3 linked regions of the Schizosaccharomyces pombe genome follow. The gene in region 1 interacts genetically with each later gene. Each region holds a gene or a part of one and is shown on either strand. Other genes may lie near its edges.

What was found. Genes that interact genetically often act in the same process or in processes that back each other up.
Region 2: mutations in tco1 (region 1) and atp15 together harm fitness less than expected from each alone (positive genetic interaction), as found in Schizosaccharomyces pombe (one large-scale study listed by BioGRID).
Region 3: mutations in tco1 (region 1) and bst1 together harm fitness more than expected from each alone (negative genetic interaction), as found in Schizosaccharomyces pombe (one large-scale study listed by BioGRID).

What each region holds. Positions count from the first base shown.
Region 1 is NC_003424.3:3,587,686-3,592,668, reverse strand, and holds tco1 (RTA1-like protein), read left to right. Parts: upstream 1-2,098; 5' UTR 2,099-2,719; coding exon 2,720-3,694; 3' UTR 3,695-4,054; downstream 4,055-4,983. Other genes in the region: vacuolar CorA family magnesium ion transmembrane transporter Mnr2, read right to left, coding at 4,381-4,983.
Region 2 is NC_003423.3:3,783,079-3,786,691, reverse strand, and holds atp15 (F0-ATPase epsilon subunit Atp15), read left to right. Parts: upstream 1-2,189; 5' UTR 2,190-2,229; coding exon 2,230-2,258; intron 2,259-2,330; coding exon 2,331-2,505; 3' UTR 2,506-2,836; downstream 2,837-3,613. Other genes in the region: bch1 (ChAPs family protein), read right to left, coding at 1-491, 637-763, 813-844. UniProt on the Schizosaccharomyces pombe protein: Mitochondrial membrane ATP synthase (F(1)F(0) ATP synthase or Complex V) produces ATP from ADP in the presence of a proton gradient across the membrane which is generated by electron transport complexes of the respiratory chain.
Region 3 is NC_003424.3:1,682,336-1,689,642, forward strand, and holds bst1 (GPI inositol deacylase), read left to right. Parts: upstream 1-2,259; 5' UTR 2,260-2,854; coding exon 2,855-6,283; 3' UTR 6,284-6,530; downstream 6,531-7,307. Other genes in the region: 1-phosphatidylinositol 4-kinase Lsb6, read left to right, coding at 1-1,492; SPOM_SPAC824.03C (uncharacterized protein), read right to left, coding at 6,567-7,307. UniProt on the Schizosaccharomyces pombe protein: Involved in inositol deacylation of GPI-anchored proteins which plays important roles in the quality control and ER-associated degradation of GPI-anchored proteins.

The sequences.
Region 1 (4,983 bases):
GATAATATTATGCAATATTGTAAGTAATATTTATAACCTTATCACAGAGAAAAACGCTTTTAACCAGAAGTATTCCTTCCGAAAAACGTATATTGTCTTTATTCACCAGAGAAGAGTGCAAAAACAAAATATTGTCATTGTTGCTCAAGAAAATGATTAAGCAAGAAAAATTGGTTTTATAGTAATGCAAAAAAATTTGAAAAGGAAAAAATCATTTTTTCCATTCATGAAAATAAATAAAACCATTGAATCTGGCATTAGCATTGTCTCTTAAAAGAATTGGGATCCCGCAACGATGTATTCGTAATACCATAAATATGTATGAATTGCAATACGAGGAAAAGCCAGATTTTTTGTAGAATTTAAAACATAAAAAAAAGAGTAAAAACCAGGGTAAATATTGCAAAGGAGTATGTATCAATTTGCGTTTCCGTTAAAAGAAGGAGCATTCTATTTCTTTCATGAAGACTGCGTTTGCCAGTATCAATAACACTCTAAGCTTACTTTGTTTAAAGAACTTTTTAAAGATAAACAGCAGCCATTAACAGGGTTTTTTTTCCTCCATCAAGCTTGAAGAAATAAACTCATATACCGATTTAAAATAATAATATAAAAAATAAATATTGAATGGGACGGGACTCGAACCCGCGAGCTTTCGCACTGGCGTGCAATGCGTTGAACGCACCTAAAGCCAGCTCCATAACCACTCGGACACCCATCCTTTCTGTAACATACTAACGATTATGTACATAATATAGCAAGGATTAATAGAGCTCAAAATAAAAATAAAAGGTAATAAAAGAATGGATATGTTGTAATGATTAAATACAACTTCGGTTATTCTTTCATTCAGTATGGTTAACTGATTTAAAATGTCCAAACGATATGTTTCGTACAATACATGACGAAAATTTAAGAAGGAGAAGAAACTCATATTCCACTTCAAACGAAATATCAGGTCATTAATAAAGAGGGTTATACAAAAGAGGAAAATTTAATTTCACATTTTTTCTTTCTTCTATTTGAAACCTGCTTTTCCGCCAATTCATCTAGTCATGGTTTGTATCGGTCAACTTATAGTGACATTTGGTATGGAACAAATGAATGATTTGTGTAAATTTTATGGCGATTAAAGAAACTTCCGCTAAACATTCTATTTCCATTCATTCTACTTAATTAATTAATTTATCCCATCAAACGATATTTTGAAGCCACAAAACTAGGGGCATTCTTTATTGCACCACCTGTGCAAAAAGTCGTCTTATTCACTCATCATTCATATTAAAAGGAAAACGTTTCCTATCATTCCCCAAGTTAGAAAATTAGCATAGTTCATAGAAATGTAATCAAAAATTCAAAAAAAAGCCTTAATGCTGTGAGCCTTCTACGCATTCATACTAGTGATGGAACAGTAACGTTTAGTTTCATGCTTTTTTCGTCGTCAACTTCATATCAGTGCTCAGGTCAACGCTAATAGTTCAATGCTTTAAGTCATGTCAATTTAAGAGGCTTTAAAAAAAAATATCAGAAATTTTTCTTCCACGGTGTCCGAAAAAATCTAAAGGAAAATTTTTATCGAGTAATATGAGAGTAAAGTCTTACGCAGTTTCCAATGCCTATCATTATTGTACTGCGAGTCGGACAATTCAAAATCTCGTTCCTATGCATCATTCTGATTACAAATGCAAAACCGACATTGTCAAAAGCAAAGTGTGACACTTTCGCAAAATCAGTTTTCGTTGCATTGCTAACTGAAGAGCCAAGCTATATCAAAAAAGAACTTCCTAAAATAACTTTTCTTTTTATGAATTTATTATTTTTCATTCCAAGCGTCAATTGGGAACGCGAACGACGATTAAATCGTTTGAAACTCACCGGCAAATTACGTTTATGCTTGCAGCACTAGCTTTTTATTGAAATGACTCTTCCAAACGAAAATACCTCTGCCATTGAAATGGAACTACTGAAAATAGAGTATCTTCGTGAATTGAAATTTAAGCAGGAAAAGCTTGGTATTGGTGAGACAGCAATTAGTCCTCGGAACTGCAAACCCCGAGGAAGGTAAAACTCAACAATATCAAGAAAAAAAAGATTCCATAAGCCACACACTGGTACATAAACTGAAGAATTACTTGTTTGAAATTACTTAGACAGGGTCAACGGTGTTATTAAGAATTCCAAGTACATTTGCGTAATTGGCAGAGAGTTCTTTCTTGTTTCCACAATTTCCAGCACATTCATTGTTGTAATTGTTTTCGTCGTCTTGTTCGAGAATTTAGCAGGCTACAATATTTTTGCGTCCGTAGCTAGCCGTTGTTTAAGGTTACTCCCAGTGTCTTTTTCATTTTCTCCCACTGTGCCGCCATTCACTATTTATTGCGAATCCGCCTTGTTTACGTTTTACTTCATCTTTTTATTCGTTATTGTCGCGTGTCTTTATTTTGTGCTTTTATTTCCCGCCATCATATGTCGCTGAAGACTACCGGACACTTTAACATTGCGTATTAATTGATGAAAGTTTTATTTATTAGTGAATGATCTTGTCGCATAACAGCATTCTCCGTGTTTTCCGTTTTTCCGTTTATTTCAGTTGAACTGAGTTGACTTGTTGTACAAATTAATCGATCCCTTGTTTCTTTGAGTGAAGTTCTTTTTAAATTCTTACTTCTCTTTTCACTTATACACTTCTTTTTTTTTCGCTTTTCTCATATTAGTTACCATGTATTACGATAACGCTTTCGGCTATATCCCTGCCCACTGGGTCACCATCCTTGCTGTCATTCTCTTTAGTATCGCTTTCATTCTTCACGTTGCTTGTCTTGCTTTCACGAGAAAATGGCTCGTTATCGTCCCTATTATCGGTACCATTGGTGAATTGGCTGGATGGGCTTGTAGGTTAGACGCTTCGTACAATCCAGATGACTACAACGCCTTCTTGGGTCAAATCATCGCTTTAATTATCGCACCAGTCTTTTATTCTGCACAGGCTTACGTTTTGTTTCATCACATCGTTCTTTTGTATGGACCTCGATTTTCCGTTTTATCTCCTAAGCTATATGGAGGCATCTTTATCACTTTTGATATCATCGCTCTTATTCTTCAGGCTGCTGGCGGTGGTGTTGCCGGTGGTGCCGACAGTGGTTCTCAGTTACAAACTCAGGGCTCTCAAATCATGTTGGGCGGTATTTGCTTCCAACTTTTTACCATTGTTGTTTTTTCTATCCTGTTTTCCATTTTTTTCATTGCGTTATATACCCATCATCCCATTCGTCCTTCCACTGGCAGAAGGGAACCAGATGTTCCATATACTCGTGTTCGAACTATGTCCTGTAATTGTCTAGCCCTCGCAACATTTGCAATGGTAGTTCGTTCCGTCTATCGTGTTATTGAGTTGGCACAAGGTTGGGAAGGTGCGGTCATTACTCATGAGGTATGGTTCGATATATTTGATTTCATCCCGATGATTTTTACTTCGGCCCTTTTGATTCCCTCTCTATATCCTGCTCTCGAGAGAAGCAAATTGCCTTTCACCGAAAAGCACGTTTCGTCTATGGAATACGCTCCCTCGGAGTATGGCCCTTCGGAATATGGTCCTTCTATAAACGATATCACCAATATGTCTGCTGTTATTTACCCAGATTCATTTTTGGCACCCAAGGATCCCAAAAAATCTTTCTCCTCTGAGGAGCTTTAAGACCTCTTATAAATGTGAGCTATCTATATTCGCATGCATGGTTTCCGCTACGTGTCAAATTTCTAGTACGTTTGTTATTCGTTTTCACTAATGTCTGTTTTTACAACCGTATTATAATTTCTACAAAATGTTTAGATGAGACATTTCTTCTCCTATTTATTGCTTTGCAATATGCATTACTTATTTCGAGAAAATAGTTTGAAGCAGTGTTAAATACCAAGACGTCGAGTGTGTTTATTTTTTATTAAAAAAAAAAAATTACTGATACGACGAATCCCCTTCTCCCCATTCAAGCTTCATCTTTAATATCGTTTTTTAACTCTTTTCGTTGTATATTTGATTAATAATCATAATTATCTATCTATTAGTCGTTTTTTAATAAATATTTTTGCAAGTAATGGTGAGTTGTTTAAACAAAAAGCATATTCCACAATGAGTAATCTTCTGATAATGGAAAACGGTCTAATACATTAATTTTAAAACTGAGATAAAGTCACGACTCAAGCAATAAAGGACAGAAACGAGAAAATACAGTTAATTTTACTCCATGAGATCGACTTGGTTCCTCGGCTGTTGTGCAGAAATTCGGATTGCCATGTTTGAAAACATGTTAAAAGAAATAAATGAGCTACAAGGTAACCCTGGGGGGAAAACTCTCAGGCAAAAATACAAGCATACAGTAAGAGCTAAATAACTTTGTACCATTTACAAAGAATGAAAGATGAAATCGCAAAAATCATCAGACTACCAAGAATACTAAAGAACCAACCAAGTCCTGGTACGTCTTGTCCTGGAACTTTAACATTCATACCCCATAAACCGGTAACCAAGTTCAACGGAATTAGAATTGTACCCAAGATAGTCAAACGTGATAAGACTTCATTTGTTTCATTCGAAACAAGTGTCATATTAATAGAAATCTGAGCCAAATAATTTGAATGACTTCGAGATAAAATTTTTTCGTAATGGTTCAAATTTTGAACCATAGTGACTATGTGATCCTGCACATCACCAAGATATAAAGCAATTTCACCTCTAGGAGCTACTTGCCATGACTCGTTGCATCGTTTGGAAAGACCTCTAACAACATCTGCCTTATTGGCAAGCAAACGTAGCAAACTCATGATCAGCTTGCGGCATTCACCAACGCGCTGCAACATTCTCTCTTGAGGCTTCACTTCCATTACGTGATCATAATGGATACTCAAAATCATGGAATCAATTGTGTCGACTTCATCTTCAATTTGCTCAATGAATGGAGCGAAAGCATCTGTAGTATCGTCCAGCAA
Region 2 (3,613 bases), on another chromosome or scaffold:
AAAATTCCACGAACCAAATGATTATTTACATGCGTAGGTACCCGAACTTCAGAAGAAGACCCTAGAGTATAACCTAACGTAAAAAGCTGTTCGGCAGCCTCAAAAAATCTTAATTCTGCATCAGGATTTGGAATGGGGTTAAAACGACGATGTCCTGCAAAGCGAGAATTTGTATCATCAGAATAAAGTAACGAACGAAGGACTTCAGACATATATGCTTCTGTCCACATACGAGCATCGACAATATGCTTTTGCCCATTCTCATCAATAGCATATGTGTCAACACCTCCAGGAATTTTAGCTTCCACACGAACATCAACTTGAGAGAAGACATTGTAGCAACAGTAAACTCCGTGACTAACACGCCAAGCGTTTCCCTTCCCAAACCATTGTTGACTTTTATCAAGAGAATAGGAAAGCGTATTTAAATATGCCGCTAGTGAAGCTGAGGAAGAAGCATCAACTCCAGATACAAAGTGATAAGTTCCAACCTTTGACGAGGTTAATAATACGTAAAACGTTAACGTTTCAATAGGAGTGAAAAGTTTGGTAAAGAGAGACTTGTCTTGATCCTTTCCCCACTAATCTCCAACATCATTAACACTACAGCTTTCGCTGCTTTAAAAAGTGACATACCTCTTTTGATGGATTTTTTGCATTAACTTTTATAGTATTGACCTGATCAGGAGGCCCGAGTTCTTTAAATTGTGCGATGGATTTAGAACGCGCATCTAATGACTCGTTTACACGAGTTTCTAAAAACCTATCGTCATTGTTTAGAACTTCAGCTCAATTATATTTAAGGAACTTACTCTGGTATATCCTTAAAGAATGAATCACTCATATATCATAAATTGGAATTAATATGCAAAGCAGCGTTCAATTCGGCCTCGTGGCTGGTTCCAGTTAAGAGGTTATGGTGTAGCCGCAGCCTGACTTGCTGTAACGAAGTGTAGCAAGCGACAATTAGGCAATCGTCCACAATTTCCTTATATATAAAGAATAAATAAATATCATTAAATTATGCATTTAGTGTATTTGAAAACCAAAAAATAATTGAATATTATACATTTTGATTTGTATCTTCATTCATCCTGACAATTGATGATTTAGGGAAGTCAAAAGTAGTACCCAACGAATAGTGTAGCGATAATTTTTTCTTAAGATTACAACTCATTGATTAATACAATTGAAATAAAAATTTCTTGTTGGTGCGGAATCCAACGCAATTAGTATTAAAAAAAAGAACAGCTTTATGTTAGTTTCCACTAAAAGTTAGACCAGTCATACGCACAATGTTAGCTTTAAAAAACTCGCACAATACGCTGGTAAGCATATGATAAATTAATACAATACTTCCAAGCAATTGCGAATGTAAGTTGCTGTGAATTTTTTTCCGAATTTCGAAATCTTTAACGAACCTTTAATGAAACGTCTAAAAGTAGAATCAGGAGTTATTGATTTTTGCATTATATATCTCCTTGACAAGAAATTTTTTGTTTCATCTAGCCATACATTTTGATAGATGTCTCTTGCAATGAACCATTGTTTGTTTAAAATATCCTAAAACCAAATAACATGTGCGAATACGTTATTTAATAGTGCAAAATTCTACAAAGAAAGAATCGAAATTTATGCTTAAGCCATTCATGTTAACGCTCATCAAGAAAGCTAATTTGACTAAATACAATCAATGGAGAGTGCTAGTATACATTGCTTGTTTTAACTGACATTTTTAAATTAACTACGATAAGTGTTAAGATTAAACAAAGTGAGAAACGTAACAGTGCTTAAGTTCAGTTTTCTTGCGAATGTATTGAATTACTTTCACTTGCCCAGCTAGTAAACAATTAAGGCTTTGGTACCGCTTTGTCCTTCTAATAAATTATGGTTAGTAGCGAAAATAACCAGCCTTTTGACTGATGAGAGGTATATATTCATTTGTCAATTCAAATTAATACGGCCTTTTGAATATTTATTTACTGAATAGTGTTGATTAATAAAAAGGCAATCTGTATAGCGATGAATCGTTAGCATCACCAAAGTCATTTTAATCAAACTGCGCTATATTTTACTAAGAAAAGCACGTTACCAATGTTAGATTAACGAATGTACATATTGAACTCAATAAATGTGTCCGACCCTTACCGAACGGGGTTTCAAGAGAGTGTCATGGATTTTAAGTTACCGTTCCCCCATCTCTGTACGATTTAGCAATTCATTGAGAAAATGGCTTTTGCTTGGAAGAAAAACTTTAGGTATGGATTCATTTCTTGAATGTGAACATTAAATATACCCTGATAGTTTTACTAATGAATGAATATTTGTAGTTATAGCAAATATGCTTCTATTTGTTCCCAAACTGTTCGTCAAGCCTTAAAACCGGAAATTAAAAACGAGGTTAAAACTCATGGTGATGCAGAGTTCCTTTATACTCGATGGAAAAATGGCGCTCAGGAAAAAACGGAGTCTTACAATTCGGCAAAGTCTGCTGATAAGGAATGAAAATAAAGGCTACAAACGAATTTTTTGTCCTTCATTACCCATTGGTAATATTTCAGCTTCATTTGATGTTTCACTCATTTCAACAGATATCACTGATGGTTTACAATCTCTTATAATGATTACTATATTCGACTTAACGTTGAATTACTAACTGATCCTTTCAATAAATTTTTATTACTTTTTTTAATGATGAAGTTTAATAGAACAAGGTAGTTTGCTCTGTTTTCTTAAAACTGTTGAGAATGGCACTTCAAATCATTGTGGTTGCTCTGTATTTTCGATCAAATCTATAATCGGCCTTTGTCTCAAAACCAAAAATTGTTGATTTTACTATAATGAGATGTAGCTAATTTAGAAGTAAGTGAGTTTTGTCACTAATATCATTCATTAACGTAGTTTTTGTTTTTGCTACTACCGAGATCATTTATAGTCGCATTACACAGTAAACTTACTACAATACTATGTTCTTAATTGTTTGTATCGTTATCTAGTTTCTAAAAAATGGCTTCAACGTCGAACAAAATTGCTTGTTCTACTGTTTTCAAACAATCATGCAAACTCACCCATTAAAAAATTTTTAATTGTATGAATACAATTTTAGAGCCCGAATGAAAGAAACAGGGTATACATACGAAATCGCATTACATTCAAAACAAACTCCACTTGATGCCTTGTACTCTTTCTCTTCTTGCAAGGATATAGTGTATCGTTTAACTTCGCTATTTAGTGACTACTTGGGTCTCTAGATATGCCACTAAAGACGTGTTTGAGACCTGTCTGCACCTGTCTATGTTGGCGTTTGTAGTCGAAGGCAACGTGCGGTATTAACGATGCAGAAAATCAACACACTCTTCTTTTTGAAAACCACGAACTAAATACGTTACACAGCAAAGACAAAAGTCACCACTTACGCTTTCTTAACGACATCAAAGAAATTACTAAACTACTTTGATAAAGTCTGTAGTAAGAGAAGAGTTACAAAACAATATCCTTATGATAAACATCCCTTAAAACTATAAAAGTTTGCTTTTGATTGCAATTCATAATCTGTTCCTACTTAAAAAAGTAGTCGTCACCCAAGTTCAAAAGTTTGTTCAGTGCATCAAAA
Region 3 (7,307 bases), 1.9 Mb from region 1:
TAAAGACTACGTTCGACTCCTTGATGCTACAAAGGAAGCAATCGCCCACGGCGTTTTCCCGGTCCTTATTTCCAAGGGGTCCTCTGGATCTTATTTTGTGAAAAATAAAGTCCAAAAAAATATAGCTGTATTTAAACCCAAAGATGAAGAACCGTATGGAAAGCTAAATCCTAAATGGACGAAATGGTTCCATCGAAATTTATTTCCTTGCTTTTTTGGGAGAAGTTGTCTAATTCCGAATACTTCGTATCTTTCAGAAGCCGCTGCTTGTGTTCTAGATAGAGGTCTGGGTTTGTATTTAGTTCCATACACGTCTGTTGCATCAATTTCTTCTCCAACCTTCAATTATGATTATTTTGCACGAAAAGCTTTTCTGACAAGGAATAAGCCTCTTCCTGAAAAGACTGGATCTTTTCAGCAGTTTCTTGATGGTTTCGTCGTTGCATCCAAGTTTTTTGCTCAACATCCCTGGCCTGGTACTCGACATAGAGAAACCCGAGAGTACACGGAGTCTGTAGCTTCCAGCGAGGACTTCGACATTTTCGATCCTTTCTTAGCTGAGAACGAAATTGAGACCGAATTTTGGACCGAAGAATTACGCCTTAAATTCCGGTTTGAATTTGAAAAACTTGTTTTGCTCGATTATTTAATGCGTAATACAGATCGTAATTTGGATAACTGGATGATCAAGATTTGTTACGAACCCTGTGATAATGAAGAATATTATAAATCAATTAATCTTTTATCTACGAATTTAACACCTAATATGTCTGCGAACTCGGTAGACCCTGCTATTTCCCAAACGTCGGATTTTTGGAAGGGACCACATTTTCAAATAGGAGCGATAGATAATTCGTTAGCATTCCCTTATAAACATCCGGATTCTTGGAGGTCCTTTCCTTATGGTTGGCTCTCTTTACCACGCTCCTTATTTACGCAACCTTTTACAGAGTTTACCAGGCAACTCTTTTTACACAAGTTGACTAGCCGAGAATGGTGGGAAAAACTAAGTGATGATTTACGAAACGTATTCAATCAAGATTTAGATTTCGATGAGAAAATGTTTTCGCGGCAACTTTCACTTGTAAAAGGGCAAGCCTACAATATTGTTGAAGTTTTAAAGAATCCCCTCATGAATATTTATGATTTACTTGAGCTCCCTAATTTATATGTTGTTGAGGATGTTGTTCGTATCGAAGTAAATGAGCCAACGTCTGCGAATTCTGAAGAAGCAGAATTTGGTTTACCAATTAAACGAGATTATGGGAGTATTTTGCACCCTTCATGTTCACAAACTTTCCCTCCTTATCCAGGAAGCCAATTATTACAAGCGACACCCGGTCGGTCTTTTTCGTCAAATGCTGAAGCACTTCTGCCGTTAAATTATATTACCCTGTTGTCCAAAGATAGTTCATCTCCAAAAATGTTAAAGGATGTAATTTTTGAAAGACTCCAGTGTGCTTCTTCCAATGCGGTCTTTAGCACGTGTTAATATAAGTCTTGTGTAATAGTATGCTACTATTTCCGAGGATTAAGTCTTTGAAGGTATCATATGTTATTTTCTCGCCTGTTCTTTCTAAGTTCCTTGTTAATTTAATTTTTCCATCATTTTATTGCTACTTCATTCTATTTTATTAATATTAGTTTGATGTTAGCGGTTAACATGAAGGTCTCTAATCATAATTGAGGAATTTAATTTTTTTACCATACAAATCCGACATTACCTGAAATCCTCATAATTGTCCATTGATAACAAAATTTATTATATTTTTAGCTACAGTTTACTCTCTTTTTTTTGTGTTTATTCTACCCATAATTAGTTCTGTTTGAGTTTATAATTGCTTTGCGTTTGCGATTCTTTCCTAGATTATTATTCAAAAATGTTCAATTCATTAAGTATTAGGATCTACTGCTTGTGAATGATTGGAAAAAATGTGCTATTTCTTAAGCCTGTTTACAATCAAATATGTTTAAACATTGCAAAAACGCTTACGTGCTTTTCGATATCAATTTAACGTTTGTTTCAAACATTAAGGTTGAAATGAACACCAATTTTTAATGTATGAAGTTTTGTTACATCCTTATTATCAATAATTTATTTCGAATATAAAACAAAGCAAATGGTTATGAAGAAAATAAAAAATGTTAGTGTAAACTGTTATCCTTGCTAAGCTGCCACATTTGTACGTTGATATTCAGGCAGCTCAGTAAGGCGAAGTTGAGGCTATTCAAGCTCAGCCCTTACGTCTAGTGCGAACCAACCATAATCAAAAAATTAAACGAAAATTTATAAATTCCATATTGTGGCTGAAATAATACTACTTAAAAACTTTCTAACAAAACCTTTGTTTCTGTTGCATGAATTTCTTTCATTGATTTCTTAGGTTTATATTGTTAGTAGACAAACAGTGAATTTCCTTACTGTCCCTTTTTCCCTTCAAGTCTTTAGGATCTACTTTTCATTTCTAATAATTGATTTCTTTGACACAGTCCTCGATTTTGGAGCTGGATTCTTCATTTGAGGCAACAAATTGATTAAAGGACTTAGATATAACAGTGTTTGGGAAATACTGTGAAATTCCTACTTATGTCCTAAATTACGAGGATTTTTATTATATGTTTTTTTTTTCTGTTGTTGTAACCTGTCTAATTTTTTGCAAACTGGAAATTTCTTTTTCAGTTGATACCTAATTTGCACTTCATCTAAACAACTGAGTCTTAAATATTAACAGGTTTTACTTGCCTTTTGAATTATTATTTCCCTTTTATTTGTCTTTAACTTTCATTAGCGGCCCTGGATTTGTATCAAGGCTCAACCCGTATATCGTCTTCTTCGTCTCGGTTTTTTAAAACTATGAAAGACGATAAGGGAAGGTCAGATACTGTGAATGGCTACTATATCTCCAATTCAAAGCTTTCAAGCGGCTTTTATAAACGCAATAATGCCAACACAGCCTCAAACGATGAGAAACCTAATTTAGAGCAAAATGATATTCCTAGCGTTACTAGCTCTGGTTCTTCAACACCTAGCTCTATTTCCATAGAAAAGGAAATTAAAATCTCAAAGGGGAATGTTATAGTTAAGGCTATACGAAGCTGGTCTCTTTATGTTGCAATCATCGCCATTCTTTTATTATTAGTTATTCTACATTCTTTTCAAGGTCGTCCACAGGACAATGGTTGCGGAAAGTCCTATGTTTGGCCTTCTTATGTTCGTTTTGTTGATTTTGATGAACGTTACACTCGTTTCGCAAATAAATATTCGCTCTACCTTTATAGAGAAAAAAGCGTAGAGGAAAGTGACGAACCATCAGGTATTCCTATCCTTTTCATTCCTGGTAATGCGGGTAGCTATAAACAAGTAAGAGCTTTTGCTGCTCAAGCTGCCCATGTTTATGCTAATGCTTACGCTGAAGACGCTGATGGTACGCTAAATGCTGGTAAACTCGTCCCTGATTTTTTTGTGGTGGATTTTAATGAGGATTTTTCAGCATTTCATGGCCAAACGCTGTTGGACCAAGCTGAATATGTCAATGATGCTATTCCATATATACTCTCTCTTTACCGTCAAAATCGAAAAATCTCTTCGGAGTATGACAATGAAGCTTTTCCTCCCCCAACGTCCGTTATATTACTTGGTCATTCTATGGGAGGGATTGTTGCTCAAGCTACTTTTACGATGAAAAACTACGTTGATGGTTCTGTTAATACCCTAATTACTTTAGCTACGCCACATGCAATGGCCCCTTTGCCTTTTGATAGGCATCTAGTAGAATTTTATGAATCAATTAAAAACTTTTGGTCCCAGTCCTTTCTGTTGAGTCCAGAAGAAAATTCACTAGATGATGTTTTGCTTGTTTCCATAGCTGGGGGAGGTTTAGATACTCATGTTGTACCGGAGTATTCGTCCATCTCTACCTTTGTGCCCCCCTCGAACGGTCTAATGGTTTTTACTTCTGGTATCCCTTCCGTTTGGGCAGAAATTGATCATCAAGCTATGGCTTGGTGCGAGAATTTCCGTCGGGTACTAATTCGGGGAATTTTTGCAATTATGGATGCAAGGACATCAAAGTGCACCGTTTCTCTTAATTTGAGGAAGGAGTTGCTTAGTCGTGCCTACATCCAGGGTTCTTCTTTTCAAAACGACATTACGCAAATTTCCAAACCAATTGCTCAATACAAAGCTTTGGACCTTGATCTTACTTACGTTTATAGCGAGATGCCAGGGCAACTGTTATTTTTGAACCAACTAGGTGTTTCTTATATTCGGCATCATATCTTTCCTATTCCGAAGCCTACCTCAAGCATTGACCGATTCGAATTGCTTACTGATCAGCCTATTGATCTTTCGTCATCCAATATTAAAGTATTGGCTTGCCGCCTTGATCCAAAAATTGATAATACTATATCTGCTTTATTAGAGAATGGTAACAATAAAGTAATTAACGCTAATTGCCATTTACTTAGGGAATTGGTTACTTTGCTTCCTGCTTCAACTGCATACACCAGCAGTCCATATGGTGGTGACAGTTTTTATAACTACGTATTGCCAAAGGAAAAAATGGATGATTATCATTTTATTTTAGTGTCTGATGATTCGAAAGCACCCGCTAGTGGGTTTGTTGTTGGGGGATTTTCAAATGTTTCGTTGGATCCTAAAACGATTAAAGGTTCTCAAATTGAACTCTTCAAAAGCGGAAGAAAATTTCAATTCGACACCAAAGGATCGATTTCGAAACGCTTCAGGTTCCCTGGTATTCAGAGCTCAATTATGGCTTACACCATTTCAGTAACGTACGAACTTTATCCTGGTGCCGTACCTCAAAAAGAATTTACCCCTATGTTAAAGCAAAGTATTGAATCTCCATTTGAAACAAAATATCATGTGAATATGTCAAATACAGAACTTTCTGTTCACGGGATATCCCCATTTATGGAATTTTTTGGTAAGGAATCAGAAAAATCTTTAACTCTCGAATTCTTTTTGAATCCTGCTATCTATAAGTCGGTTTATGTTTCAATACAGCCAAGTTATTACAGGAGCGCTGGGCGTCTGCTCATGCGTTACAGAACATTACTTGCTTCCTTTCCTGTGGTTGTAATTAGTTTGGCAGCTTACAATCAGTTTAGGTATTTTCATTACGGTTCTGCATACTTGAGTATGTCGGCTGCACTTGAAGTCATGATTCGCAAAGGACTTATCAAACTCCTTTTTTTAGTTTCGATCTTGTCAATTGCATTTTCATATTTAATTAGCAGAGTAGAGTTGATTGTTGCCGATGGTGCTGACCCTGTCGCCTCTTGGAAAATATTCGCAATGATGGTTCCAAAATCTTTCTGGAAACAAAATCATTTACTTTTTGGACTACAGACTGCTCAATTTTGGTTCCTCGCCCCGCTGTTAACTTTAATGTTTGTTGGCTTAGTTATAACAGCCAGTGTTATTATACTCTGTGTCATGCATTTATTAGCATTCATATATGGTATCTACTTGCGTTATAAAGGTTTGACTTTTACTGGTGTATGCCAAGCTGTGAAGTTCTCCTTTCAATGTCTGAGAACAAGAAATACTAGAAAATTGGATCATGGAGAATTTAAAAAACTTTCGAGTTTTCTATCTCAGAGAAATATGTATTATGCAAACCCTTCTCTCTGTTACGTATATGGAAAGAAGCATATGCAAGCTCGGATAATTGGCATCATGTTATTGTTGCTCATGGCAATGACGGTGGTACCCTTTCAACTTGTTTATGGTGTTGCTTTATGTACCCAGACAGTAACTACTGCTAAAGCTTTACACTTGGCCCGATTTTGCACCAAGTCAAGCCATTACCGAAAAAAATTGTGGGATTTCTACAATTTCTCTTGCACGATAACAATACTGATGTTACTCTTAGCTCCTTTGGACTTTCCTGTTCTCATTGTTTGGGCTAGAAATCTTTCCATGCATTGGTCTATTCCTTTCCCCACACATCATAATTTCTTCTCAATTATCCCTTTTATATTACTCACCGAAATTTTACGAACAGGAAAGATGCTACCTCGTTTGAACGACGTGGAGTACTACATAAATAACGTTTTTTTGTTTCTTCTGTCTTTCTATTCATTGATATATGGAGCTGAAAAACCATACCTCATTCACAATGTAGTTGGGTTATACTTTTTTTGGCTTTTATTTTTGTATGCCAAGAATGGTTTTTTTGTACAAAACATTTCGAAATGGCCGATCATTCCTAGAATGAAGTATTTTATTAAGCACAAATTTTTGCGATCTATTTCTTAATGGAAACTTGTAACAATATTATTTAATTCTTTTCTCTTTTTTCTTTATTCTCTCTTTTATATTACATTATTTCCTTTATTTTCACACTGTTGAACACTTATCATACTTTAATTTTCAAGATAGAACTTCGTTTTTATTTGGTAGACATTCGTTCATTGAATTTTATTTCTATTTATTACCTTGAATAATATCTCTTTACAAAGTTTATTGGTTTATCAAAGACTGAATAACTCACATTAGCATGATGGAAATAGAAAAAGATGAATTAATATATGAGCTGTCATCAACAGTTAAGAGATATTTTTTGATTTTTGTAGACCAACACTAAAGGTACTGGCCTTTCTTCCGTACGTGATAATGGCTGTAATAGTTCAAATAAGGAAACATAATTCACTTGGGAAAATTCCTGAGATAAAGGCACAATATTAGCGGTTGGCGAAGGAAGCTTGTAAATCTGGCGCACACTCAGGTCGGGAAAAATAGCCAAAGCTTGGTGATTCCAAACAAATTGAAACATGTAGCTATGAAATCCGTCAACATATATGCGGCATAAGGCAAGAGGTCTGTTGCTGATGGACAAAGTCTTCAGTGAGGATGATGTGAAAGAACCCAAACAAGCCAAAATCCCAAGAGTATCTGTTGGATAAGATGACAAAGAGCCTTCAAGCTCTCTAACAAATCTGGGCCCTATTGATCCCTTGTTAGATTTGCAGGATACGACAACTTTGGTGGGCTCAAACAACACATTTTTAATCGAAAATTGGCCCACCAAATCCACCCCACCATCGCCCTTTCCACCACATCTTTCAAGCTGAAAACTGTGTTGCTTTAGCACATACTGTACCAAGTATTCAAACAAGGTTCCTTGGGCAACAGTATTCGACGTTGAAGGCTTCTGAACACTCAAATGTTCTAAATAGGAAACAAGATTGTTGTGTGTGACAGACAAGTTTCTAAGGCCTAAAAGGCCTCTGTTCATGAATGAAAAATTTCTACACCGATTGAACCCTGACTTTAAAATCCA